Xenopus tropicalis: one gene and its partners. The protein of the gene in region 1 purifies or fractionates together with the protein of each later gene. This does not show direct contact. Links are inferred from orthologs where the notes say so. Each region holds a gene or a part of one and is shown in the gene's direction. Other genes may lie near its edges.

Evidence for each region.
Region 2: the proteins of axin1 (region 1) and btrc purify together in Homo sapiens (affinity purification with western blotting; 7 studies listed by BioGRID and IntAct, with this or other methods). This does not show direct contact. The link is inferred for Xenopus tropicalis from reciprocal best matches to the Homo sapiens genes AXIN1 and BTRC.
Region 3: the proteins of axin1 (region 1) and hipk2 purify together in Homo sapiens (affinity purification with western blotting; 3 studies listed by BioGRID). This does not show direct contact. The link is inferred for Xenopus tropicalis from reciprocal best matches to the Homo sapiens genes AXIN1 and HIPK2.
Region 4: the proteins of axin1 (region 1) and dvl3 purify together in Homo sapiens (affinity purification with western blotting; 3 studies listed by BioGRID and IntAct, with this or other methods). This does not show direct contact. The link is inferred for Xenopus tropicalis from reciprocal best matches to the Homo sapiens genes AXIN1 and DVL3.
Region 5: the proteins of axin1 (region 1) and lrp5 purify together in Homo sapiens (affinity purification with western blotting; 3 studies listed by BioGRID). This does not show direct contact. The link is inferred for Xenopus tropicalis from reciprocal best matches to the Homo sapiens genes AXIN1 and LRP5.
Region 6: the proteins of axin1 (region 1) and ppp2r5a purify together in Homo sapiens (affinity purification with western blotting; 3 studies listed by BioGRID and IntAct, with this or other methods). This does not show direct contact. The link is inferred for Xenopus tropicalis from reciprocal best matches to the Homo sapiens genes AXIN1 and PPP2R5A.
Region 7: the proteins of axin1 (region 1) and map3k1 purify together in Homo sapiens (affinity purification with western blotting; 5 studies listed by BioGRID and IntAct, with this or other methods). This does not show direct contact. The link is inferred for Xenopus tropicalis from reciprocal best matches to the Homo sapiens genes AXIN1 and MAP3K1.

What each region holds. Positions count from the first base shown.
Region 1 is NC_030685.2:15,101,808-15,106,368, reverse strand, and holds the start of axin1 (axin-1), read left to right. Parts: upstream 1-1,581; 5' UTR 1,582-1,872; intron 1,873-4,561. UniProt on the Homo sapiens protein: Component of the beta-catenin destruction complex required for regulating CTNNB1 levels through phosphorylation and ubiquitination, and modulating Wnt-signaling.
Region 2 is NC_030683.2:30,626,138-30,629,304, forward strand, and holds the end of btrc (F-box/WD repeat-containing protein 1A), read left to right. Parts: intron 1-362; coding exon 363-524; 3' UTR 525-556; intron 557-2,394; 3' UTR 2,395-2,484; downstream 2,485-3,167. UniProt on the Homo sapiens protein: Substrate recognition component of a SCF (SKP1-CUL1-F-box protein) E3 ubiquitin-protein ligase complex which mediates the ubiquitination and subsequent proteasomal degradation of target proteins. Recognizes and binds to phosphorylated target proteins.
Region 3 is NC_030679.2:7,974,590-7,979,167, reverse strand, and holds the start of hipk2 (homeodomain-interacting protein kinase 2), read left to right. Parts: upstream 1-1,588; 5' UTR 1,589-2,071; intron 2,072-4,578.
Region 4 is NC_030681.2:100,195,721-100,200,121, reverse strand, and holds the start of dvl3 (segment polarity protein dishevelled homolog DVL-3), read left to right. Parts: upstream 1-1,456; 5' UTR 1,457-1,657; coding exon 1,658-1,818; intron 1,819-4,401. UniProt on the Homo sapiens protein: Involved in the signal transduction pathway mediated by multiple Wnt genes.
Region 5 is NC_030680.2:37,131,448-37,135,313, reverse strand, and holds part of lrp5 (low-density lipoprotein receptor-related protein 5), read left to right. Parts: intron 1-1,101; coding exon 1,102-1,338; intron 1,339-1,927; coding exon 1,928-2,038; intron 2,039-3,866. UniProt on the Homo sapiens protein: Acts as a coreceptor with members of the frizzled family of seven-transmembrane spanning receptors to transduce signal by Wnt proteins.
Region 6 is NC_030681.2:14,669,991-14,674,289, reverse strand, and holds the start of ppp2r5a (serine/threonine-protein phosphatase 2A 56 kDa regulatory subunit alpha isoform), read left to right. Parts: upstream 1-1,363; 5' UTR 1,364-1,962; coding exon 1,963-2,110; intron 2,111-4,299. UniProt on the Homo sapiens protein: The B regulatory subunit might modulate substrate selectivity and catalytic activity, and might also direct the localization of the catalytic enzyme to a particular subcellular compartment.
Region 7 is NC_030677.2:190,926,963-190,930,828, reverse strand, and holds part of map3k1 (mitogen-activated protein kinase kinase kinase 1), read left to right. Parts: intron 1-339; coding exon 340-456; intron 457-1,261; coding exon 1,262-1,410; intron 1,411-2,250; coding exon 2,251-2,372; intron 2,373-3,866. UniProt on the Homo sapiens protein: Component of a protein kinase signal transduction cascade. Activates the ERK and JNK kinase pathways by phosphorylation of MAP2K1 and MAP2K4. May phosphorylate the MAPK8/JNK1 kinase.

The sequences.
Region 1 (4,561 bases):
GAAAGTCTCCCATAGGACTCAATGGCACTCTGCAGCTCCAACCCGGCCCAAGGAAAGTCTCCCATAGGGCTCAATGGCACTCTGCAGCTCCAACCCGACCCAAGGAAAGTCTCCCATAGGGCTCAATGGCACTCTGCAGCTCCAACCCGGCCCAAGGAAAGCCTCCCATAGGGCTCAATGGCACTCTGCAGCTCCAACCCGGCCAAGGAAAGTCTCCCATAAGGCTCAATGGCACTCTGCAGCTCCAACCCCGCCCAAGGAAAGTCACCCATAGGGCTCAATGGCACTCTGCAGCTCCAACCTGGCCCAAGGAAAGCCTCCCATAGGGCTCAATGGCACTCTGCAGCTCCAACCCGACCCAAGGAAAGTCTCCCATAGGGCTCAATGGCACTCTGCAGCTCCAACCTGGCCCAAGGAAAGTCTCCCATAGGGCTCAATGGCACTCTGCAGCTCCAACCTGGCCCAAGGACAGTCTCCCATAGGGCTCAATGGCACTCTGCAGCTCCAACCCGGCCCAAGGAAAGCCTCCCATAGGGCTCAATGGCACTCTGCAGCTCCAACCCGGCCCAAGGAAAGTCTCCCATAGGGCTCAATGGCACTCTGCAGCTCCAACCCGGCCCAAGGAAAGTCTCCCATAGGGCTCAATGGCACTCTGCAGCTCCAACCCGGCCCAAGGAAAGTCTCCCATAGGGCTCAATGGCACTCTGCAGCTCCAACCCGGCCCAAGGAAAGTCTCCCATAGGGCTCAATGGCACTCTGCAGCTCCAACCCGGCCCAAGGAAAGTCTCCCATAGGGCTCAATGGCACTCTTTCCTTGGGCCGGGTTGGAGCTGCAGAGTGCCATTGAGTCCTATGGGAGACTTTCCTTGGGCCGGGTTGGAGCTGCAGAGTGCCATTGAGCCCTATGGGAGACTTTCCTTGGGCCGGGTTGGAGCTGCAGAGTGCCATTGAGCCCTATGGGAGACTTTCCTTGGGCCGGGTTGGAGCTGCAGAGTGCCATTAAGCCCTATGGGAGGCTTCCAAAATCATGCACAGAAGGTTTCAAAGTTAGAAAGGTTTTCGCGCCATTTACGATCATTCGGACCGTACCACAATATTTACGTATGACCACGATACAAATTTTTCGCGTTTTTAACGCACATCATAAATTATCGGATTTAATACGAATTTTTTTCTATTGAAGTCCAGAATTCGGACTTCGATAGACGGGCCCCAAAGCGTGATTGTTACTTTAGTTGCCTCAATATTCCCACCAATAGAAGGCTGGGAGACATTACCTACATTAAAAACCACAACTCCCAGCCCCCCCCTGGCAGCCATTGGCTAGCTTTGGAATACTAGGACATACACTACAGGACCACAATTCACCCCATAACCAGAGTAGTTCTTGTGGGAGCTACAGCCCAAAAGCTTCCTCACCAACTCTTACCATCCCTCCTCAGAGAACCCTCCCACACTGGGGCCCTAGGGCCCATGGCTGCCCTACATATACTATTCCCACCTCACAGACACCCCATATTAGAGCCGGGGAGCGCATCCCTGAGGTAAAAAGCGGAGAGCTGCTTGGAGTCACATGACTGCGCGTACCAGCGGGGCGGGAAAAATCGCGAGAAGCTGCGGGGCCGCGCATGTGAGGCGCGGGCACGCCAATGCGCACTCCCGCGGGTGCCGTGCACGGTGTTTCTCTCACACACTCACTCACTGTGTATCGCACTGTCCGGGGCATGGCCGCATCCCGGCGCTCTGCGCTCTCCTGTTTCCCGAGTATCCCTGCGCGGTGGCGGCTCCAGCTGGAAGCTTGATGGGTGGCTGCGGAGCGGAGGGAGAGGGCCCGGAACGGCTGGGCACAAGAGCCGGCTCAGGGCTGCCTGGGTGAGGAGCAAGGCCACACGGCTCTCTGTCTGTCTGTGTGTGTGTGAGAGGAACGGGGGGAGGAAACTTTCCAGGAGAGGCGGACGGATCCAGTTTGTAGGCCAGGCCCCGGCTTTGCCAGTACCGCTGGGCCGCATCTTACTGGGAAGCCCCGTACCCTGGCCCGTCTATAGGCATGCATGGGAACCCTGTGGCCCTGTACGTGGCTGTGGTAATAGAGTCCATCACAGGTTGCTCTGCTGCCCTTATTCCCAACATTGGGGCTCTGAATGCTTTGCTTTTCTGCTAGAGCATGCTGGGAAATGTAGTCCCAGGGATGAACATCACCAGACACTGAATGACTACATCTCTGGGCTCAGAGGGGTTACTGGGAGTTTTAATTCAGCATCATCCACAGGGCTGTATGGGGGATATCTGTCAGCTTTACTGGGGCTTTACTACATCCTTACTATATCTGGGGGGGGGGGACTATTTTGCAGGGATCCCATCATTAATGGGGGGGAGACAACTTATCTACGTGATAAGCTGTTAGTGGGGTGATGGGAGTTGTTTCACTGGCAAATGCACTGTGGCTGCAAACGATGGAGAATCCACAGCAGTGCGGTATTAGGGTGAAGACACACGGAGCTACTAGTAGCAGCTACTTGTCACGGCTACTATTATAGACAATGCTGATCATTTACTGATAATTGTCTCTACGTGTGTTTTAGCAGAGGCAATTCTCTGTATTGTCTATGGCAGGGGATTTTCTAGAGTTTAGTAGCCATGAAAAAGTAGCTGCTACTAGTAGCTCAGTGTGTCTTCACCCTAAGGGTAAAGACACACGGAGCTACTAGTAGCAGCTACTTGTCACGGCTACAAAAATAGACAATGCTGATCATTTACTGATAATTGTCTCTACGTGTGTTTTAACAGAGGCAATTCTCAGTATTGTCAGGGTATTTTCTGGTGTTTTGCAGCCATGACAAGAAGCTGCTACTAAGTAGCTCCATGTGTCTTCACCCTTAGGGTGAAGACACAGAACTACTAGTAGCTGCCACTGCCATAGACAGTGGTTTTGAAGTTATGTGTAAATGTAATTGGTATGGAAAAACGCTGCCTGGATGTTTGTATTCTCTGCACTGCTGGCTCTGACTTCTGCATAGCGGGGTGATGGGAGTTGTTTCACTAGCAAATGCACTGTGGCTACAAACGCTGGAGAATCAGCAGCAGTGCAGTATTAGGGTGAAGACACACGGAGCTACTAGTAGCAGCTACTTGTCATGGCTACAAAAATAAACAATGCTGATCATTTACTGATAATTGTCTCTGCGTGTGTTTTAGCAGAGGCAATTCTTAGTATTGTCAGGGTGTTTTCTGGTGTTTTGCAGCCATGACAAGAAGCTGCTACTAAGTAGCTCCATGTGTCTTCACCCTTAGGTAGCTGCCACTGCCATAGACAATACTGAGAATTGTCTTCTAAAACACACATAGAGACAATTATCAGTAAATTATCAGCATTGTCTATTTTAGTTGCTGCTACTAGTAGCTCTGAGTGTCTTGACCATTAAATCGATCATGGTGGGAATTGTATTCTGTGGGTTGTCCGGCAGTTTCACCATGGGTGGGAATTGTAGTTCAGCAAGGTGTTTATTGACCATTGCTCACTGTGTTCCATCACCTACCTTGGGCTTCTCACCCTTAAGGAAACAGGGGGGCTGCTGTGGCAATACCCGCAGGGCCACAGGTTGCTCATTGCTGCTGTAGGGACTAAGCCAGTTTATGTGTGGGTTGGGGGTATGATTGGCTTTATAGTTTTCGTTACAACTGCAGTTTTATGTAAGAAATGCTAAGGTACCGTGGGAGTGTGGGGTATTGTCAGTTCATGCATTAGCACTTTCCATGGTGCCCAATATATATTGGGGGCAGAAGTTCTCCGCATTCTGTGCATGTCAGAATCTGAATGCCGTAGCCAGACGCCTTGGGGGTGTGGGGGACCCTGTTTCTTGTGTTCCTACCTGCCTACCTGATCCATCGGCACCCAGTGCTTGGTATATTACTGATATATACTGATCATTTGCAAATAATCCTGCAAGGCTGTGTGCCCACTCCTGACTTATTATATCTGCTTTTGGTCTGACCAAAGAAATCTATCCTCATTGTTGGGGGGGAAATGTCTATTTATAAAAAAAAAAAAAGTGAATATATGTGTAATGTGATGTGTGTAAAAAAGAAAATATATATGTATAGTATATATCAAATTGGAATTAGAACTCTCAGGACCAGCAACTTCTTTGTTATATAATATTTGTATTTTTGACACATTATACAGAAGTCTTATAGTTATCAAGGAGAGATAGATATTTAAAATATATTTTCGTTGTAACTGACATGTAACTGTAAGCAGTATATACATTCATAAATGTCATTGGTTTTGAAGTTATGTGTAAATGTAATTGGTATGGAAAAACGCTGCCTGGGTGTTTGTATTCTCTGCACTGCTGGCTCTGACTTCTGAATCAGTATAGCAGAAACTATCGAGAGCAGAACTAACTTGTTTCAGGAGTCGGAACCAGAGAAAAGGAATGCAGACACATGTAGCTGGCTAGAAAGAGGATTTTTACACTGTGTGTGTGGCGAGTTAGTCTATTATAGCCCCCACTGGAAACAGTAAAAGGGATTGCCGGGCAGAAGGTGATGTCGCCTAGTG
Region 2 (3,167 bases), on another chromosome or scaffold:
CCTTCAATAAATCTTTTTGATATTGGACATAAGACCTGAGTAGTGCAGATTCCTCCATTATTTATGCTTTACTTTGATCATGTACACATGAATGCCAACCTTCTGTGTGTGTGTGTATAAAATATATAGATATAGATAGGTATAGATAGATATAGATATAGATATATATAGATATATATAGATATATATAAAAAATATAAAAAAAATCCCATATATATATTTGCTCCTTTTAATTGGATAAAGCACCTCTTCTGGTAATAGTAGCAGTGTGGTGAAGGCAGAACGCTGTATATGTGTTACATGTCTTTGCATAAACTTGTGTAATATCTGTTTATCCCTATTATCTTTGCTTTGTTTACCAGGAGCATTCGGGCAGAGTTTTCCGCCTGCAGTTTGATGAGTTCCAGATAGTAAGCAGCTCTCACGACGACACTATCCTCATCTGGGATTTTCTCAACGACCCAGCTGCACATGCAGAGTCAACGCGTTCCCCTTCTAGAACATACACGTACATCTCCAGATAAATGACACTACGTAGTACCTCAGAGTTGCACAGGTGGGTAGGAGGAAGTGCTAAGTACACCAGTCATTTGTCACTGACACATTTTACATTTGCAGGCAAAAAATATGGGAAAATAGTAAATCTTGTGTGGGATTATGAGTTTTTAGATCACAGTCGGCCATTATTAGCTAATACTTTCTTTAACTTGTGTTTCCTAAAGGCCAGTTTTTGTTTTAGCTTGTATTAATGTGCAAGTCTACTGTGTCATTACTCACAGTATCCCAGTGCTTAAGGGATTCTCCTCTGATTGTCTTGGCAGTAATCCACTGGGTTCCATCTGCTCTGGTGCCCAGATCCCTCTTGATGATATGTGCATGCCAGGATATTATCACTACTGTTGTACTGATTACATTCCCATTCCCCCAGGACCACATTTACATTGAGGGGTATATTTATCATGCTTTGTAAAAAGTGGAGTGAAACATTACCAGTGATGTTGCTCATAGCTGCCAATCAGATGCTTTGCTTTTGTTTTCTAACTGTTGAAATCTAATTGCTGATTAGTTGCTCTGGGCAACATCATCGGTAATGCTTGACTTAACTTTTTACACCGCATGATAAATATACCCGTAAGGCTACTGCCACACGGGGGTGGGGTTTTTTTTCTGGCCTCTATATAAGCACATGCCTAGAGTCTCTCCAATCCGATTTGCTTTATGGTGTGTCTGCAGTGTCGGACTGGGACCCCAGGGGCCCACCAAAAAACTTTAGACCATGGGCCCACTCTCCAAACTAATTTTCCTCCTTTCCTCACTAAAACCACTTTATTCTCCAAGTCTCTTTTATTTACATGCTAGCATGTATTTCTCCTCTTTTTTCCATTCAGAAATGGGTAATAAGCATGAAACAGGCCAAATGGTCAGGAGCAGGAGGGCCCACTGACACCTGGGCCCACCAGGAGTTTTCCTGGTATCCTAGTGGGCCAGTCCAACTCTGTGTCTGCACCCACACATGGGGAGCATTTTCTGCTCCAAAACACGTGAGAATGAATATTTACTCCAAAATCCACTCTGTGTGTCTGCACCCAGGCCCACGCTGTGCCTCTGAGTGCAGACACCATACAGCAGAATGGAGAGGAAGGGTTGGTTTCTGGAGCTGTCATTTTTCCTTAAAAACTCAGCTGAAGGGCAGTGAGATGCACGAAAAGTATTATGGATATCTGTATTGCGGCCTGCCTTTCCTCCTCACAGTCACCACTTCCACCTTGTAAACTTAGTTACAGAACAGGACCACAGCCATACAGCAAAGAGGATAAGAAAGAAATGGAATAGCACTGTAAATGCTTTCACACGTGCAAAATTTCTGCTGTGTCCTTGGATCTGACGCATTTTAAACCCCATCAGATATCAGCAGGAGGCTACCAGATATCTGCTGGCAAGTGATCTCCTCCTACACATGCCATCAGATGGATGTTACCCTAGGCATCTCGTGCACACTGTGCACATCTGATACCTTCTGCTTTTTACATTGCCTTTCTTCTGTTCGCCTTGACATCAAGGAAAAATGCACTGTCAGGAGAGACTGATGTCAGGTTGGTTGAACACAATAGAGAGGATTTGAGAGTACATTTAGGATTCAGCTGCAGGCATTTGAGTTCAGCGCACATCAGATGCTTCTTAAGTGTCAGCCTGACCGGCTCCCTTATGGTATGTACACATGGACATTCCAAAGTAGGGCTGAGATGTGGCTCGTGGTCCCTTGGGATGTAAAAGCAAGAAGTGGAGTATATCATTCTATTTATCTGACACTGGTTGTAGCTTTTTGTGTCCTTTCTTTGTAAAAAAAAAACATAGATGAACCTTTAATCTTGCCTCTCGTTTACTCCCTTACAGGACTTGCTTGAGAAGTATGGTAACTAAACCACCTGTGAACGCCGGGAAATAAACATTCTACTTGACCAGTATTTGCTGAAAAAAAAAAAATATAGAGAGAGAGACCCATTATCCTGACTCATCCTGGAATATTGCTGTCAGGCAGCTGGAAGCAGCCCGGGCCAATCTGCACAGTGGACTGCATGATTGCTGCCATGAGAAGAATTCTTGTATCTCCGTCATTGTCACCGGAGTCTGCAACTTATTGCGTGGCGGTGGGTTGCACACTCCAGTGGCGGCGGCTCATTACTCAAAACTTGCAATTTAGAGATGAAACCTGAGAGACTGTAGCAGTCACAGATCTTTGAAATCTATTTAAATGTCTTGCCAGGATTCCTGTTGCTTCGCTGTCAGCAAAAGAACAATTTTCATTTTTGTCCCACGCTCACGCTGCTTTAAGGTGTGGTTCCATTCGGAGATCTGCTGAACGTTTTGCAAGTACTTGTGAAGTGAAAAGCGGGAAATGGGTTACTTTCTTTTAAGATGATGACTAAGACCCCCCCAAGTGATATAAAAATGTATGTTTTTATCATAGTAAGCATGAAAGGTTATTTTTTATTTATTATTTTTTTTTTCCATTAATTTTTTCATTCTTCAGTGTTTGCGTGTATATCCAGTTTTTCTTTTTTTTCCTTTTTTTTTTTTTTTTGCATATAGTACCAAATCAAGTGTTGTAGTTATCTGTATAGTTCTTTATGGGCCATTAAAAGCTTAGAAAAAAAATAAACTGATTA
Region 3 (4,578 bases), on another chromosome or scaffold:
GGGGCGCAACGATTGGGAGGTGCAACGATTGGGGGCGCAACGATTGGGGGGCGCAAGGCGGGAGCCTCTTCTGCCTACCCCTAGTCCGTGCTCCTTTGTCATTGCCCCCGCCACTTGTAAATACGTGGTGGGGGCAATGACCCATGGCACCCCCCTGGGTTGCCTAGGGCAACTGGTCGGCCACGCCCGCCCCTGGCTGCCAATATGGGTCCCTTAGACCGATTCGGCAGTTAATCGGCCCGTGTAGGGGCACTACCTACGGGCCTGCCTGACCGATATCTGGCCTGAAATCGGGCAGATATCAATCGTGCAGTTTCAAAAATTTAGTCGGATCGGGGACTGCAGCGACTCATTGATGCGCTCCCCGATCCGACTTCGCCTATTACTGGCACTCTAATTCGATTGTTTGCCCCCAGGTCCAAACGACCGAATTAGCCTGGATTCGCCCGATATCACCCACCTGTAGGTGGGGATATCTGAAGAAGATCCGCTTGCTTGCTAACATCGCCAAGCTTAAAGGTCCCCATACACGGGCCGATTGTAGCTGCCGATATGGGTCCCTAAAGGTGGCCATACACGAGCAGATCCGCTCGCTTGGCGATGTCGCCAAGCGAGCGGATCTTCCCCCGATATCCCCACCTACGGGTGGGCGATATCGGGGAGCATTTAGGTAAAAAAAAAAATAATCCAATCGTTTGGCCCTGGGGCCAAACGATCGGATTATGTGGGCGGCAATGGGGCAGTCGGATCAGGGACCGCATCAACGAGCTGATGCGGTCCCCGATCCGACCGGATTTTCTAACCTGGCCGATCGAGATCTGGCCAATTTCAGGCCAGATATCGGTCGGCCAGGCCGCTCTGCCCTGCCCATACACGGGCCGATTAGCTGCCGAATCGGTCCAAGGGACCCATATCGGCAGCTATAGTCGGCCCGTGTATGGCCACCTTTAGACCGACTCGGCAGCTTATCTGCCTGTGTAGGGGCACTAACGACTGGCCTGCCCGACCGATATCTGGCCTGAAATCAGACATATATCGATCCGGCAGCTTAAATAATTTAGTCGGATGTGGTCCCCGATTCGACTTTTTCTATACCCGTCGTTCTGTTTCGATTAGAACCGAATTAGCCTAGATTCGCCCGATTTTGCCCACCTGTAGTACACTTATTGTACAGCGCTGCGGAATAGGTTGGCGCTTTATAAATAAACGTTAATAATAATAATGCAGTCTTGGGCCTACCCCCCAGCCCCAAGAGCTTGCACTTCATAAAACCTACCCAGGGAGCTGGATAATGACTGGGGAGATGACCTCTTTCAATACCCACCCCCAATACAAACACAGCAAGGCTGCCTCCCCCCCCCCCTCTCCCATTGCACCAAGCTCCTTTGTGACTCCATGAAGGGTTAATAGGATCCCCCCCTCCCCCCCTTTTACTCCTGATTGAAATGTGTTGGTTAAACAGAAATCCCACACAGCCTCTCCAGCAGAGGAGAAGAGGAGAAGGGGAGGGGGGAGACACTTTGAGAAAGTACAGCCTCTCCCCGCCCCCCCCCCCCTCCCCATTGGAATCCATGCGATCGGCGCTCGATTGCTCCGCGAAGGCAGGAGAAAGAGACACACAGAGAAGGGATCGCACCCCCCCCCCCCTCTGCCTTTTTCTCTTTCCTAAATGCAACTTTCCGTGCAGCTCGCTGGGAGGCTGGGTGCGGGGGCTCCCTGCATGGGGGTGCGGACTGAGGGGAACACAGGGGGCTGGAAGGCTGCCCGGGGGGGCTTCTAATAGCTGCCAGCAGGGGGGCTGCGTTGATTAGAAACAATATCTGCATTTACCCCCCCCCCCCCCCGCTCACCTTCCAGGGCAGGCCACTGGCGTTCCCGGTGCTTATTGGGGTGCAGCGGGTAAGATGGGGGAGCAGCCGGACCTGCAGCGGCTCTGACTGACTGATCAATGCGGGAGGCGGACGGGAGCCGGCAGGGTCACAAGCTTGTCCCCCTATTCTCTGTGGGGGGAGCCCCAAAGCGCGTCCAGAGAGGCCCCCGGTATGGCAGCGGTGGAGAGACCCAGACTGCGGTAAGGAACAGCTGAGGGTGATTTTCTAATTCCAACCCCCCCCCCTTCCCAACATTGGGAGCCCCCCGTGTTTATCATTTCCACACCCTGCCCCCCCATCTGCAAATGGACCCTTCCATACTTACCCCTGCCCTGCATTGTGTCTGCCCCTAGAACCCCCTCTGTACCCTTGCCCCCCTATTGCCCATATGGAATATCCTGCACCCCCTCTTCCCCTAGAACCCACTCTGTATCCTTGCCCCCCTATTGCCCATATGGAATATCCTGCACCCCCTCTTCCCCTAGAACCCACTCTGTATCCTTGCCCCCCCTATTGCCCATATGGAATATACTGCACCCCCTCTTCCCCTAGAACCCACTCTGTATCCTTGCCCCCCTATTGCCCATATGGAATATACTGCACCCCCTCTTCCCCTAGAACCCACTCTGTATCCTTGCCCCCCCTATTGCCCATATGGAATATCCTGCACCCCCTCTTCTAGAACCCACTCTGTATCCTTGCCCCCCTATTGCCCATATGGAATATCCTGCACCCCCTCTTCCCCTAGAACCCCCTCTGTATCCTTGCCCCCCTATTGCCCATATGGAATATCCTGCACCCCCTCTTCTAGAACCCACTCTGTATCCTTGCCCCCCCTATTGCCCATATGGAATATCCTGCACCCCCTCTTCTAGAACCCACTCTGTATCCTTGCCCCCCTATTGCCCATATGGAATATCCTGCACCCCCTCTTCCCCTAGAACCCACTCTGTATCCTTGCTCCCCTATTGCCCATTTGAAATATCCAGCACCCCCTCTTCCTCTAAAACCCACTCTGTATCCTTGCTCCCCTATTGCCCTATGGAATATCCTGCACCCCCTCTTCTTCTAGAACGCACTCTATATCATTGCCCAGACGGAATATGCTGCACCCCCTCTTCTCCTAGAGCCCACTCTATATCATTGCCCATTTGGAATATCCAGCACCCCCTCTTCCTCTAGAACCCACTCTGTGTCATTGCCACCCTATTTCCAATATGGAATATCCTGCACCCCCTCATCTCCTAGAACCAACTCTGTATCCTTGCTCCCCTATTGCCCATATGGAATATCCTGCTCCCCCTCTTCTAGAACCCACTCTATATCATTGCCCCCCTATTTCCAATATGGAATATCCTGCACCCCCTCTTCTCTACCTCACCTCAACACCAAATTCTCACCTCTATTATATATATATTGTTATTATACGGGATATGTTGTATATATTCCTCTGTCTCTACTTATACACCCACAGGGGCTGCCTGTAAATAATGGGTGTGATAGGGCGAGGGGTTAAAAATCTAAACTGAACTTGAGTTTTTTTTCTCCTTGGTTCTGTAGGAAGGATGGGGGGGGGGGGGGCTGCCATTGTTTTATTATCTTAGTTTGGCCTTGAAAAAACTAGTGTGTGTGTATATAGGTAAATATATATATATATATATATATATGTATGTGTGTGTGTGTGTGTGTATATATATATATCTCTATCCCCAGCGCCTCCCTCTGTGGCTCTGCAAGGGTGTAGAATGAATTCTCATTAACTCCTTGACTCCCAGCAAGGCACAATACAGAGGAATCGCTTGCCCTTGCCTTGTTACATATTCACATAGAAACTGCCCAGGATCTATTTCGAGAGACTGTTACTCGGGATAAAGTTCTTATATAACAGGGAAGGGTTATTTATTAACTGCTTTTTATGGAAGTGCCATAAAGCGATCCCTCCCCGTGTGACAGGCCACTGGGCACAATGTCGGGGCTGTTTTAGAACATACCCTTCTTTAGTACATTACAGCGCTTAAGCAAAAAATAAAACCCCATATCCCCGTTTAACATGTTCAACGCCGTACGGGTTTCTGCTGCAGTGGCTGCACAATTCTGCGGCTTTGCGGTCTGCGTCAGTCCGACTGCAGCGAGAAGCAGAGACAAAAGATTATATTATTATATAAAAAAGCCTGCACCAGCGGATCCCACAGCCCAGTGCTCTGTCTGGGTGGTTTTAGAGGAAGATTTTGACTTCATAGAATTCCTGATTGGGTGCCCCCTGCTGGCAGTGAGGAGGAACCCACCCCCCCAACCAGGGAGCCCTGATTTATTTCCGACGAGCGCCCAAATCTGAATTATTATCAATATCATGAAATGACTGTTCCATTTGTAAAGCTTAACAGCATCAGCTCCCCTAGCTTTGGGGCCCAGGCAGAACCCCATTATTTTATAAAACAAATTCCGGACCTGAGTTGATGCACAATTCCCAGCGCCCCTGGGAACAGCGGGGTTTCAGGAACAGATGGGGCTGCAGTTTTGAAAGCTGTAGGATTGAGTGTTGCAACCCCAAACCGTGGGCAACGCTGCAGTTACCCCTACTAGTATTACAGAAGCTGCCATGCCATTAACTTGGGGCTGCCGTACATGCTGCTGTGCTATTTTGGCCCCTGCCACTGTTGGCGCTAAAGTGCTGTTTTCTCTGCTGCCATTGTAGGGGGTAATGCAG
Region 4 (4,401 bases), on another chromosome or scaffold:
ATAATTGTCTCTATGTGTGTTTTAGCAGAAGCAATTCTCAGTATTGTCTATGGCAGGGTATTTCCTGGAGTTTAGTAGTCGTGAAAAAGTAGCTACTACTAGTAGCTCAGTGTGTCTTCACCCTTAACTGTGATTTTATTTCACTGAGCTATACAAAATAGTCCATAATATCAAAACAGAAAAAAAAACAAAAAATGTCAGTGCACTTTAAGAATATCTTTAATGTTTTATGATTGACATTAATTGAAAATGATATTGCCCTTCAGTTTCTTTTGGGCACTTAAATAACTAGGATAATTCTCAGTCATATTTTTGGATGGCAACTAGGGTTGCCACATTTCCAAGAAAAAAATATTAGGGGGTCCTATATGTTTGCCTTTTCCCCTATTAATAACATTGGCATCAAATATAATTTTTACCAGCCAGATGGCAAGCCTAATGGCAACTCTTGCCCAGAGATTTTGCAGATTTGATAAATACTGTAGTTATGTAGACAGCTAGACTTCTTGTTAACTTGCACATCCAGAAACTCATGATGATACAGATTGTGTCTTAAATTTGTATTTTATAATGTTAATTCACAAGATTACTTGATGTCATTCTGTTTCTTCTATGCTAGGTAAAGGGGTATTCTACTCATGAATACAGAGCTGCTGAACACGCATACAAGACCAGGGAGCAAAGTCCTCAACATTTTGCAAGCTGCACTCACTATTCTCATAAGGTTCCCACCCCACCTCACGACCTATGGGAGATTCTGGAGCTATTCTGCTATTAATATATTAATATTTTTAATATCCTGGTACATGGTTCCTGAGTTTAACTTCTAGGTAGAATCTAGACTAGACTTAATCCTTTCAATAAGTGTTACTGCGAAATAGAGGTTTGTAAACCTTTTGTCTAGATGCAGTCTCCCACATTTACTGGCCACCTTTGTCTACCTTTGCCTCATACATCAGTACCGGAAGTTCAGGCGCATTTGGAAATAATCACATGACAAGGGGCTGGATTATTATTGAGGATGAGTTTGCGTTGCGCATGCGCTGGGCGCAGCTAGTGTAGTCGTCTTGACGCATGCGCGCTGTTTAGGAGACGGACAACCGAGTGACAGAGACAAACCGAGGAAGCAGCGGCGAGAACGTCCCACAAAGATTCACTGAACCATTTAGGCCTAAAGAGTAAGGTGCAAGCGTATTGGAGACAAATCGGCCTGCTGTGGAAACAGCAAGGGACACCGGACGTGAGAAAAGACTGACAGGCCACACACGAAACTGTTTACTCACCCTCATCGCTTTCACAGAGGCACTGGCTGTCTGTCTTCTCTGGCCCTATTATACACACTTTCTTTCTTGTTTGCCGGCTCTATCATCTCTGCTTCTGACGGGCTTTCTCTTTCCCCCCTCCCCCCTAACACTCTCACCTCTTAAAGTGTCTCCCTCCCCCACTAAGTCTCTAGAGACCTTCTGTCCCCAAGTACCATACTTTCTCTTCTTGGCACCGCATAACCTGACACTCCATCTTTCAGGCTAATATAGTCTGGTGCCATCACGGTGCTCTCTATGGCCTCTTTTGTATGACAGATTTTGGGGCTAAGCCCCTCCCCACATCTGTGTATTGTCCCTCCCTCTCATAATACCCCTTTCTCAGCTGGATAATTATGGGGGAGACCAAGGTCATCTACCACCTGGATGAACAGGAGACCCCATATTTAGTGAAGTTGCCAGTCCCTGCAGAGAAAGTGACACTGGGAGATTTTAAGAATGTCCTCAACAAACCAAACTACAAGTTCTTCTTCAAATCTATGGATGATGACTTTGGGTGAGTGATTGGGGAGCAAGGTGGTATAATACATGAAAGCCATTATTAATGTGTAAAATATATGCTTATAACATTTCTCTAGTAATAATGTTTATGTGCATGATTCATTGAAATGTGTACATAATAATAAATAAAGCAAGCATCCCCTGGTATAAAATATAAACATAGAAGTCACAAAGAAGTTTAAACACCTGGTTTAAATCTTCAGGCATGTGGTCTCCTGCCTTTATATGGTTATGGAACGCTTTTGTGACTTCTGATGTCCTATATTTTATAACAGTGTATTGTTCCCTGTATAGCTTTAATAGGTTGCAAATGTGATATGTAGATGTTGGGGTTTTGTTTTTATTGGATATCTATGTCCCATGGTCTGAGGCCAATAGCACGCAGGTTGTTTTGACCATTGCTGTTTTGAGACAGAAAAAGTCTGTAACCACTTGCTGTAGTGGGACATGGTGATTGCAGGCAGTAGTAGGCTGTGGCGAACTTGGTAGGGAATTCCAGCCATGTATAGCCAGCAAACTTTTACCCAGTGAATATTTGATCTGATGGTCTGAATTGTTTTGTTGTGTAGCCAACAGTGCAGTATAGGTAATAAAGTCTTGGCGTTCTTACTAAATTGCCACAGAAAACAGAAATGTATGTATATACAACTTTATAAAGCGCTACAAGGATACACAGTACTGTAAATCTTACAATATACACAGTTACACACGGGGAGGACAAGTGTTATAATAAATACAATAAATATAAATACACAGAGATTAAGTGCCATGTGGTATGAGACACAGTAGGAAGGAGGTCCCTGCCCCGTAGAGCTTACAATATACACTGTATGATCAAATGCTTCAACCCTCTCTGTCACACATTACAGCTCTGCCGGCTGTAAACGTCTGACAAACAAGACATTTCATGTACCATGAACCTAATAGTTTAAACAGAACACTTTTGCATAAGTTACCAGTTTAGGTATTCAATTTCCTCTTTAATATGATTGAATATATTGCTTTTGGCAGTTTGAGGTAAAACAACTTCTTACATCTTCAGATTCTGTTTCTAATACAGAATCTACATTGAAATTGTGTTCTTTGTTTTCTTTTTTCAAAGCACTAAAATTTATGGCTAGTGCCACATGGAGTGTATTCTCATCCTGCTGATAAACGCAGGCCAAGAATCCACCCCTACGCTTGAAAAATCTGATAGTTGTGGCTGCACCCATACATAGCCTTTGCGCTGGCTCATGTGCTGCCATACTAAGCTTGCGTGTGCAGTTTTGCACCTAATTCAAAATTATTATTTTTTTTAAAAATATTACTGCAGGGGGCTCAAACTCAATTTACCTGGGGGCCGCAGGAGGCAAAGTCAGGATGAGGCTGGGCAGCATAAGGGATTTCACAAAAAATTGGCTTTCAAGGGATCATGCAAGGCACGGCGGGAGCTGCTGATTGCGGAAATGACGTTATGCCATCATAACAGTTATTATGGGAAGATGTTCTGTGTGCACAATTAGCTCCTAAGGAGCTAATTGTGCACACAGAACGTCTTCCCATAATAACTGTTATGATGGCATAACGTCATTTCCGCAATCAGCAGCTCCCGCCCGCCGTGCCTTGCATTATCCCTTGAATCGCAATAAAAATCGCAATCCATTCATTGCTTTTGAGAAGGCGTTGGTGCGGGCCACAAAATACTGTACTGAGGGCCGCAAATGGCCCGCGGGCCGCGAGTTTGAGACCCCTGTATTACTGTATTTGCATACATATTAATGTACCACAATTAAAGGAATTCTGTCATGGAAAAATATGTTTTTCAAAACTCATCAGTTAATAGAGCTTCTCCAGCAGAATCCTGCATTGAAATCCATTTTTCAAAAACACAAACAGATTTTTGTTATATTTAATTTTGAAATTTCACATGAGGCTAGCCATATTCTTCATTTCCCAGGGTGCCACAACCATGTGACCACAAGCTGGGCTCTGATAAAGTAATCCGCGCGGGTGATTAGTTGCAGCAACTTATACTCTAACATGTGTTGGGAATGTCACTGTGTCTTTATCCTTAAAGTACATTTAGCCCATTCTTCTAGGCTGGTTGGGTTAGTTGGATGACTATTTTGCCCCTTAATTTTCAAATAGTGCTTTAGGTTTGTTCTAAAACCACTTCACTGTTACGTTTGCTTGTTGGGATCATTTTTCTGCTGAAATATGAACTACAGTTTTTAGTAGGTTTAGTAAGTTTCTTTTTCTCCATAATTTCCCTGTATTTTACACATTTATTCTAACAAGATGCCCACTCCCTGCAAATGAAAAGCAGTCCCACCGTATGGCGCTGCTGCTACTGCAATTCTTCAAGCTGCATTTTTTGTTTTTGTACTTTGAAATAAAATAATTACAGAAGACAGCATTTTAGTATTCGGTACACAATAAACGGGAGGATTTGTCAAAGATCTCAGTATTTGTAACAAGGCCCTGTATATTGTGAGTCCATAGTTGCCAGTTTGTCTGTTGAAACCAAATTTAGAAGTTAAGTTTAAACACATGTGCTGGTGATTATATAACATTTCTCTACCCTAAGAACATAGAC
Region 5 (3,866 bases), on another chromosome or scaffold:
AATAAAAGCCTCTTGGATTTCTACTATCCCTAGTTCTGTTTTGCTTGTAAGGAATCCCAAAAGCTGCAGATCTGTGCATGGTCCTTATGTTAGTAAGCTGGCCAGTCCATTGGAGAGATGATATAAACTACGCATTTCGCCAGCTACACTGACTTCCTAAGGGTTAAAATAAAAGTGCAATCTTTGTGCGATATCATGCTGTTGGGCCTATTTTAGGTGTATGCTGTTAAAGGGATACTGTCATTATTTTTATGGTGTACTTTTTATTTCTAAATTATACTGTTTACATAGCAAATAATTCACTCTACCATTTAAAATCTTATTCTTGAACCAACAAATGTATTTTTAGCTGTAATATTGGTGTGTAGGCACCATCTCAGTGCATTGTGCCTGAGTCTGAGCTTTCAGAAGGAGCCAGCGGTACACATTAGAGCTGCTTTCATGTATCCTATTGTTTCTCCCACTCCCATGTAACTGGAGGAGTCCCAAGCTGGACTTGGATTTCTTACTATTGAGTAATCCAATAGGACTGTTTTGCCTCCAATAAGGATTAATTATATCTTAGTTGGGATCAAGTACAAGGTACTGTTTTATTATTACAGGTATGGGACCTGTTATCCAGAATGCTCGGGGACCTGGGGTTTTCTGGATAAGGGATCTTTCCATAATTTGGATCTCCATAACTTAAGTCTGCTAAAAATCATTTAAATATTGAATAAGCCCAACAGGATTGTTTGCCTCCAGTAATGATTAATTAATCTTAGTTGGGATCAAGTACAAGTATACTGGTTTATTATTACAGAGACAAAGAAAAGCATTAAAAAAAATGTATTTTTTTTATAATGGAGTGTATGGGTGATAGTTTCTATAATTCGAAACTTTCTGTTTATCGGGTTTCCAGATAAGGGATCCCATACCTGGACAGGGAAAGAGAAAATGATTTTTAAAAACTTAAAATGGGCTCTATGATAGATGGCCTTCCTGTAGTTTTAAAGCTGTCTGGATAATGGGTTTCTAAATAACAGATCCTATACCTGTATTTGCCTTATATGATAAATTCCAGTTCATATCACTAAAATTAATGTATCACACCGTTTCTAGAGCCGCCCACTTGCTCCCCAGAGCAGTTCACATGTGCAACAGGGGACATTGACTGCATTCCTATGGCCTGGCGTTGTGATGGCTTTTCAGAGTGCGATGACAATAGTGATGAAGAAAACTGCCCCGTTTGTTCAAGCAACCAATTCCAATGTGAGAAGGGACAGTGCATTGATGCCCGTCAGAAATGCAATGGGGAGATTGATTGCCAGGATAAGTCAGATGAATTGGACTGTGACTGTAAGTAGGACTTATAATTTATATTTGTTGTACAGGTGTTGCTGTTGTCTTTTTAAGTTTGTTCTTTTTTGCCCATTTAGCTATAGAGCATACTACTGTATTGATTTTGTTTTGTAGCAGTACTTTACCCTGTTAGTGTACAAGTTATACTTGCCAGACTAGCAACTGGTTCTTGCAGTTGGGTGTCAGTTCCTTATCTCTGTGAGATATTATATTTCTTATAACTGCTAAGAAACAATTCATTGCGTTACTGTGCTCATGTCAGATGAATATTGTGCTATACAGAGCAGCCTGCAGCATTGCATATTGATGCACCTGGGGAAACTGAGTAAAGGCTGCCAACATTGTTTCCAACTAGGTATCCTGGTAGTAAATTTGTTGGCAGCTTTTATAACCTTGAGGTGGACTTCAAAGCAGTTAAACTGATTATTTTGCTGTATTTCATGTCATGGAAAGGAAAACTCACTAAATATTTATGGGAATCTATACTTCACCATTAAATGCATGACCAGTTATTTAGTATAAAGTGCAATTTGTTATCTAGTTATGATTTATTATTGAAAAAAAACTCCTGTTACTATCATTCCAGCTATCTGTCTTCCTGATCAGTTCCGCTGTGCCAATGGTCAGTGTATAATGATGAGTCAGCAGTGCGACACCTTCCCCGACTGCAGCGATAGCTCCGATGAGCTTATTTGTGGTAAGTACCCCCCCCAAGTACGATCAGTTGTAAAAATGTTTCTTTGGATTCATAGGAATTTTGAAAAAATCACAATGCAATATGCACACCAAATAATTTGCATGAAAGCACTCATATTTATAAGTTACTGGGTAAACATACTGCCATGACAGATGAAAGAAGATGCATGAAAAGAATGGCAAAATGGCGTCAAAAAAGGAAAATAAATATATATAATATACAACTATACTGGCACATAATAGCTATCTGTTACAAGGTTATCTCCAAGAATTCGGCTGGCCACTCGTGGGCATGAAATAGTACAAAGTGTATGAAAGCGTATGTATAAGTAATAACAGTATAATATACTGTTAACCTGCACTGGTATAACAGGTGTTTGCTTCAGAAACACTACTATAGACTGTATAATTAAGCTGCTGTGTAGCTTTGTGGGCAGCCATTCATTGGAAAAAGGATCAGGTTACATAGCAGATAACAGATAAGCTATGCAGAACGCCATTATATTCTACAGAGTTGATCTGTTATCTGCTATTTAACATGTGCAATTTAGCCCTATTTCAACTGCCCCCATTGCTACACAGAAGCTTGTTTATCTATGCTATACTATTTTAGTTTTTGACAGTCAGGTGTCATCAACCAGATAAACCATATAAAACTTTTAAATAAACCACCAGTACAGTGTAGGGACATTAGTGTAGAGTTGTACTTATTGTGGGTAGTGTTTTTCAGGTGCTTGTTAAAGTTATTTTTAAAGTTTGCTTATTTTATACATACATATATCTACACTCACCTAAAGGATTATTCTCTGACCTCTAGCATCAACAAGGCATTTTCACCCACAGGACTGCCGCATACTGGATGTTTTTCCCTTTTCACACCATTCTTTGTAAACCCTAGAAATGGTTGTGCGTGAAAATCCCAGTAACTGAGCAGATTGTGAAATACTCAGACCGGCCCGTCTGGCACCAACAACCATGCCACGCTCAAAATTGCTTAAATCACCTTTCTTTCCCATTCTGACATTCAGTTTGGAGTTCAGGAGATTGTCTTGACCAGGACCACACCCCTAAATGCATTGAAGCAACTGCCATGTGATTGGTTGATTAGATAATTGCATTAATGAGAAATTGAACAGGTGTTCCTAATAAACCTTTAGGTGAGTGTGTATATATATATATATATATATATATATATATATATACACACACACACATGCATTAGTGGGGGAAAAGATGTGATAGTGAAAATAATCATCCAGTGTTGCCAAAATAGCAAGCTAATTGCACACCTGTATTGTGAGTCTTTTTAATTACTTCTGGGAAACTCCCTGCATGGCCGTAGTTAGCATTGATTTGCATCCAAAAATGCACTTTGCACACTGCAGTCATAAATGGCCTTTTACAGCAGTGGCCGCATTAAATCTTCACTATTGCGGGCAACTAATCTCCCCGACATGCCATCCAACCAGCAAGAATGTAAATAGTCGGTGGGTTGATATACGCATTGCTTTGGTCGCCCGAAGATGCCTCGCAAGGAAACTTTGGCCGAATTCAGAAAACCGAAGCGATGTGTATGCCATCCCGCCGGCGATTTACATTCTTGCCGGTTGGATGACATGTTGGGGACATGCAGGCCAATCTCCCCTTATGCCACTGCCCTTAGTGATCTTCTTACTTTTTCAGAACATTGCTTTTCACAGGGGGACCTTAGCTGGGTCATTCAGCAGTATATTTCTGCAAAGTGTCTGTATAGGGGCACATATAAGAGGTTGGAATATATTCATAGTGGTAGGGGGATTATCTGAATCAGGAGGATTATTATCTTCACC
Region 6 (4,299 bases), on another chromosome or scaffold:
AGACTGGCCATTGCGGAACAGGGGCAGACTCTCTGACTGCAAGGTGGGAGCAGCATAGAGGGCTCAGCAGGACTCCCATTCGTGAGCAATTGTAATATATGAAGAAAAAAAGGCCAACTTCAAGATGGTTTGAGAACCCTACCAGTTACAGTATACCACTGCTCCAAGCTAAATAGACACACACAATATCAATGTCTTTCATTCTTTATTTCAGCGCTACCCCCACCTTAAATGGATACTGTCATGATTTTTATGGTATACTTTTAATTTCTAAATTACACTGTTTACATAGCAAATAATTTACTCTACCATCTAAAATTATCTTCTAGAACCAACAAATGTATTTTTTTGTTGTTGTAATATTGGTGTGTAGGCGCCATCTCAGTGCATTGTGCCTGAGTCTGAGCTTTCAGCCAGCGCTACACATTAGAACTGCTTTCAGCTAACCTATTGTTTCTCCTACTCCCATGTAACTGGAGGAGTCCCAAGCCGGACTTGGATTTCTTACTATTGAGTGCTATTCTGATACCTACTGGGAGATGCTATCTTGCTCCCTTCCCATTGTTCTGCTAATTGGCTGCTGGTGTGTGTGTGTGTGTGTGTGTGTGTGTGTGTGTGTGTGTGTGTGGGGGGGGGGGGGGGGTAGGAGGAAGGGAGGGGGGGTGATATGACTCCAACTTGCAGCGCAGCAGTAAAGTGTGTATCAGAGCACAAGTCACATGGTTGTAACACCCTGGAAATGAAGAATATTGCCCCATGTGAAATTTCAAAATTAAATATAAAAAAATATGTTTGTTTTTTTGAAAACAGATTACAATGCAGGATTCTGCTGGAGAAGCTCTATTAACTGATGCATTTTGAAAAAAAAACACGTTTTCCCACGACAGTATTGCTTTAAACTAATACCAAGCGCTTGGAGTCCATGTTGCACAATAATATGCCAGATGATCATTCCCTAACACAAAGCCAAAGGCCTGACTAATTATATATGGGGACATTCGCGCAACTGTGTGAGAATGCAGCCCCAACCAGAAAACAAACGTGCGATTTTGTAAGCAACAACCTATCCGTCTCAACTCTGAGCAACGTGAGTGAAGCACACACACACACACACAATCACCTCAGAGACTCCCTCACAACAAGCCATATTTTGAAGGGACGCACCCCGTTGGTCCGGCGCCTAACACAGCGTTTATTCTGATTGGTCAGCCCCACTTCCTATCAGCCAATAGAGAATTTGTATACACGCACATTCGCAAGTCTGCCAAACCGGCCTTCTGGTTGTCATTTGCTTCCTTTTCCTGATCGTGTTATGTTCCAAGTGTGCGGCAGCGCTTACTAGAACATAGCACTTAGACACCCAGGCAGTACAGCCCAACTACAGAACTTCAAAAGTATGACGTCCATTATTAGACCTCGCCTCCATTCACTAGGCGCTTGGTTGACCCCTAGCGGTCACTGAGAGGAAAGCATTTTCTAACCGACTCAGCGCTTCGAACACTGAGAACGTTCCGCCTTCGTCACGTGTCTCCTGATTCCTCCGATTGGGCAGCCGAGCTGTCACTCACTAGCAGAAGTCGGTGCTGGCGGCGGTAAGCGACGTTGCCGCCACAGGTCGCCTTGTGAGTTCGGGGGTGGGGGCTTGCGGTTTTTTTGGATTTACTGAGGGACTTTTAGACCGACACGGGAAGCCCGCCTGCCGCCCAGCGACCCCTAGTGCAGCCCAGTCTATGGCGGTCGGAGCGCTGTAAAAAACTTTCTGTCTGCTGTGAAGAGGGGAGATGCCGGGGAGAACAGGGGCGAGGAGCCGCTAGAGGGGACCCTCCTCTCCTGCCGGAGGGCAGCACTAGGGGGAGGAGGGGGCTGTCACCGTGACATTAACCCCACACTTCCCGCCCGAACCCCCCCCCCCTCGTTTCCCTGCTCGGTTGGGCAGGTGGCCCCGCGGGCCTGGCAGTGGCCATGTCGGCGATATCGGCAGCCGAGAAGGTGGATGGATTTACGCGGAAGTCGGTGCGGAAAGCCCAGAGGCGGGGGCGCTCCCAGGGCTCGTCCCAGTTCCGCGGGCAGGGGCCCCCTGTGGAGCTTTCCCCCCTGCCTCCACTCAAAGGTAAGGCGGGACCTCATTGGCCTCTCAACTAGCCCTAAACTCCCAGCAGCCCCCGCCAGGCTGCACAGCGAGTTGGGAACCATAACGTCCCCGGGCAGCCCCATTGTGCCTGATCAGCTCTATACCCATACGCTAGGGGGCGCAGCGCTGGGAAATGCCTGGCAGCCAACAGTAAACAGCCAAGCTGGGCTGGAAATCAGCAGGGAGTGGCACATTTTCACTAATGGGTAATGGAGGGGAGGGGGCAGAGCCGATGTGGTGTGCACAGGTTGGGATATGGGGGGTGCAGGGGCATTAGTAAGGTATAGGGCAGAGCATGACTTGGGGCACAGGTGTGTCAGTGGCCTATGGGGTAGATGGGGACAGAATCTGATTGTGATATGGGGGTGCAGGGGCATTAGTAAGGTATAGGGCAGAGCATGACTTGGGGCACAGGTGTGTCGGTGGCCTATGGGGTAGATGGGGACAGAATCTGATTGTGATATGGGGGTGCAGGGGCATTAGTAAGGTATAGGGCAGAGCATGACTTGGGGCACAGGTGTGTCAGTGGCCTATGGGGTAGATGGGGACAGAATCTGATTGTGATATGGGGGTGCAGGGGCATTAGTAAGGTATAGGGCAGAGCATGACTTGGGGCACAGGTGTGTTAGTGGCGTATGGGGTAGATGGGGACATAACCTGATTGGGGTATGGGGGTGCAGGGGCATTAGTAAAGTATAGGGCAGAGCATGACTTGGGACACAGGTGTGTCAGTGGCCTATGGGGTAGATGGGGACAGAATCTGATTGTGATATGGGGGTGCAGGGGCATTAGTAAGGTATAGGGCAGAGCATGACTTGGGGCACAGGTGTGTCAGTGGCCTATGGGGTAGATGGGGACAGAATCTGATTGTGATATGGGGGTGCAGGGGCATTAGTAAGGTATAGGGCAGAGCATGACTTGGGGCACAGGTGTGTCAGTGGCCTATGGGGTAGATGGGGACATAACCTGATTGGGATATGGGGGGTGCAGGGGCATTAGTAAGGTATAGGGCAGAACATGACTTGGGGGCACAGGTGTGTCAGTGGCCTATGGGGTAGATGGGGACATAACCTGATTGGGATATGGGGGTGCAGGGGCATTAGTAAGGTATAGGGCAGAGCATGACTTGGGGCACAGGTGTGTCAGTGGCCTATGGGGTAGATGGGGACAGAATCTGATTGTGATATGGGGGTGCAGGGGCATTAGTAAGGTATAGGGCAGAGCATGACTTGGGGCACAGGTGTGTTAGTGGCGTATGGGGTAGATGGGGACATAACCTGATTGGGGTATGGGGGTGCAGGGGCATTAGTAAGGTATAGGGCAGAGCATGACTTGGGGCACAGGTGTGTCAGTGGCCTATGGGGTAGATGGGGACAGAATCTGATTGTGATATGGGGGTGCAGGGGCATTAGTAAGGTATAGGGCAGAGCATAACTTGGGGCACAGGTGTGTTAGTGGCGTATGGGGTAGATGGGGACAGAATCTGATTGGGATATGGGGGGTGCAGGGGCATTAGTAAGGTATAGGGCAGAGCATGACTTGGGGCACAGGTGTGTCAGTGGCCTATGGGGTAGATGGGGACATAACCTGATTGGGATATGGGGGGTGCAGGGGCATTAGTAAGGTATAGGGCAGAGCATGACTTGGGGGCACAGGTGTGTCAGTGGCCTATGGGGTAGATGGGGACATAACCTGATTGGGATATGGGGGTGCAGGGGCATTAGTAAGGTATAGGGCAGAGCATGACATGGGGGCACAGGTGTATGAGTGGCGCTGAGCAATAGAAGGGAAGCTGGAATGGTATGGCAGAGATGGGAACAAATGGTATGGGAGCAAATATGTGTTAGAGTATGGCAGAGCAACATATGGGACAGAGAAAGGGATGCTGGGATAGGGGCAAACGATGTGGGAACATTAGTATAGCAATAAAAGGAAATAATTGTTAATGGTGAAATAGGTGCATTAGTAAAGAATGTTGCAGAGCAAGAGATGGTGGAATTGGTACATTAGAGTGTCAATGAGCAACTGGTGGGGTAATAGGGGTGTTAGTAAAGTATGTCAGAGCGAAAGTGGGAATAGGGGCATATATTCATGCAGAGAAAAAGATGGGGAAACTAGGGGCATTAGTACTGTATGTCACATAGCAAGAGTTTGTGGAATTGGTGCAT
Region 7 (3,866 bases), on another chromosome or scaffold:
GTACTTTTGCTTTGGAATATTCAAAAGTATACAAATAAAATAGGTCCAAGCCGTAATTATGAAACTGCAAGAGTTTCTTTATTAGCAGTGTAAGCTCACAACATGTTTCGGGCAGAGCTCTTCACACTTGAGAAAGGTCTCTGCTTACACTGCTAATAAAAAAACTCTTACAGTTTCATAATTACTTCTCGTAGCTGTGTGATCTACTTTTGAACTGGTTATGTTTCATGGTGATACACAAACACCTGGAATCTACAGCTAAACTTACTTTAACCATCTGCGTGTTTTGTATTTGTTAACTTTTGCAGTGCCACATAAACATGTATTTCCTTACTGCAGGCCTGTAGCTGTGGCAGGGGAACATTCTGCATCCATCTTCTCTTCGTCATGTTAAGAGTCTTCCAGTTAGAACCATCTGACACCATGTTGTGGAGAAAAGCACTGAAGAATTTTGAGGTAAGCATATATCCGCTTTGTGCAAATATATAGTTATTTATGGGTTTTTTTTGTATTTTGCTGTAAGCTTGGGAATCTACGTAAGGACAATGACACATGGGGAGGTTTGTAGCCATGTAGCTATTGCTGGCTAAAAATCTCCCTAAAAAAGGCCTTGTTATAGATTAACATTACCATTGCCATAAGTAAAACATATTGCTCATGCCAGTCTGGTTTAATCTTGGGAAATTGTCTGTCTTCACAGTTTCCCATGATAAAGCCAGATGGCCTTAAGCAATATGTTTTACTTGGGGCATAGCCAATGTTAGTCTATGGCAAAGCATTTTCAGGGATATTTGTAGTCATCAGTAGCGATTTTTTTTTTTTTTTTTAACGCTGGCTACAAATATCTCCATGTATCATTGCCCTAAAGTTGGCCATACACACACCAATATCACACTAAACCATTATTGGTGCGTGTGTGGTGGGATGGCCAATATCAGTAAAAGCCTTGGTTATAGGTCTTGTTGCCAATCAGACAGGACTGGAAATTTTGATTGGGCGCCTTTAAAAGTAACATTAATGCTGAATCGTCAGATGGGGTAAAGAATTCCTTTGGTTTTACCTGCAGATCTGTCAATTCAACTCTTCATGCTAGTAGAGCGGACAAATGATCGTTCCTATGACCAGTGGTCGTGGGAAATGTCGTAATTTTAGCCTGTAGCATGGCTGCTTAACAGGCACGGAAGCAGCGTATCATTGTAAAGACAATGGCTAACAAACTAAAGCAGTATCTTGTCACTGCTATTTTCTTTTTATTTGGTAGGTTGAGAGTTTGTTCCAGAAATATCACAGTAGACGTAGCTCAAGGATCAAAGCTCCATCTCGTAACACCATCCAGAAGTTTGTGTCACGCATGTCCAGTTCACATACATTGTCATCATCTACCACCTCTACATCTAGTTCAGACACCAGGTTTGTATTGAGGAATCATTATTGCAGTTTGCTGTGTGCGTGCCTGTGGGATTTGCTTTTATTGATGAAATGTTTGATCTTAATTAAACATAACGATTAATATGCCCAGTTCATACTCTTGCAGTTTGTTTATCCTACTGATAGTCCACAGCTTAATACAGAGCAGATAATTCTCTTAAATATAATCCATCACAATAACATATCAAACACATCCCACTCTGTGTAAGATAAGATCAGTTTGAACCTGCAGGAGAAGTCACCAGCCTGCAAGCAAGAGAGGTAACCTGAAGTGCAATCTTCCACTGTGGTAGCACATTTCATTTATTTTGAGTATTTAGTATCCAAAAAGCTGGTTCTGTGGACCAGACTGAACCTTTTGTGCTGTACCCCATCAGGACCTTGTAAATTCAACCCTCTGTATCCATCTAATCTAATAAAATGCAAAGTCTGCTAATAGTGTATCAACCTACGGCAACCAATGAGAAGGTTTACTGGTCAGCTGTTTGAAAGCAGATATCTGGTTGGTATGGGTTTCTAGACTTTGGAAAACTTTTTTTAATTTTATGAAATTACCCAAGTAGTATATTCTTTCTCCATTCACCATTAATACAACACCCAGCATTCATCCTCACTTGATTATATGTTGAAGGATGCTAGAAGCTGTAGTCCAACATCAGCAGAAGGCATGCTACATGAATTGATGGTTTTTGAAATGTAACATCGTACCCAATTTAAGTAAAATGTTTAGGGTGTGTACATTTAAAAGGGATCCTGCATGCAAGAAACCTATTTAGACTTTGTTCTAGTTAAGTGAATGTATTTATTTCTGTATATTTTTAGCATGAAAGATGAGGAGGAGCAGATGTGCCCGATCTGCTTGCTAGGGATGCTGGACGAGGAGAGTCTGACTGTATGTGAAGAAGGCTGCAGAAACAAGTTACACCACCACTGCATGTCAATTTGTACGTCACTTATGCATGTCACCAATTGACTTACCGCCTTTGTCATTTCTTATGGTTTAATGGTGCTGAGCAGTGTGTTTTTGTAGCATTTTACTATGTTTTGTCTCTGTGCCCAGCTCTCACTAGAAATATAACAGATGGATAGTGTGGCCTAGAAAGAGGGCAGGGCGCCTTCACAAACACCACAGACATTCTTTATTGTAACATTCCTATAGCATGGAGTGGAGTGTCCCTTACATCTTCCTTAAAAATTGTCGGGGGCTGATCTGTGAGATAGTGAGCTTTGCCTGCCATTTCAAGATCATTTTCTGTAAGCATCCATGCACAGCTTCCTGTGCCATTTATGTCATTTTGCATGCATGTGTACTACTGGTCTGGAGTGCCTAAGTATCCATGTACCAGTATTAAAGGGTTAGTAACGAGAACGTGTCACTGTGCTTATATTAATGCATCCAGCCCTAATCCTGCCCCTTGCCTCTCAGCCATCACCTGTATTGCCCTTGCACAGGACAATCCTAACTGATGTGGGGCAGGGCAAAGTGCTGATTGGCTAGAGCACATATGTATACAGTGCATCAGCCTAATGGTACATTGCCATGCCCACCAAAGCCCGGCGTCCGTTATGACTTCCATGTTCTTAAAACTGTATCAGTGGTCGACACAAGTGAGTAGTGATGATTTAGAGGGAGACAGAGGCACTTATTACAAGCAGCATTAGTACTGGGCATAGTGATGCATTCTAGTTAAAACTGGAAAACCTTACTATCTCTTTAATATTAAACATGAGGACCATTCAATATAAGATGGTTTCCCAACATGCTGTAATGAGGGCATCCCGTGTCATGTTTTAGGTTGGCGTTTAGCAAAGTAATCTCTGACAAAATCATTTATTTCTTCCTTGCAATGGAGGATCTGTCCCTATTATTTGGTTAGTGTTGCAGCAGTGCCATCTAGTGGGCATTCTTTAACCTCTCCCTGTGTAAGTAAAGTCCATGCACACACACTCTAAGAGGACTCTGTACATACTGATTATATGCACATAAACAATTCTAAACAATCTGGAAAATATATATAATAGCTACTACATTTTTTAATACAGCACTTTGCAGTAGAACCTGAAAATAACTACACCATTTGCTATTAAATATTATACTGGAGTCATTTCCTTACAGACTTGGATGCACATTAATGAACACTATACTTCCTGCTTATTTTCTTTCCATATTTTTGTTGAAATGCTGATAATTCCAAGACTTATTTTCTCATATTTTCATGTAAGACCTATTCCCTGTGTTACACTGCCTCCATGCTATGAATGTGCTGAGCAATGTTAGGCACATGTGTGGAACAGTCACTGCTTTGCCTGCTCTGCACTGGGTGTAGTCAACAGTACAGATTTTAGCTGGAAAGAACTAATATAAAGCATCTTTATGAGTGCAGCTAGCCTATTTACTGCAAGGAGGTTGCTAGGAAGGGCCCAGGATATATAAAAAT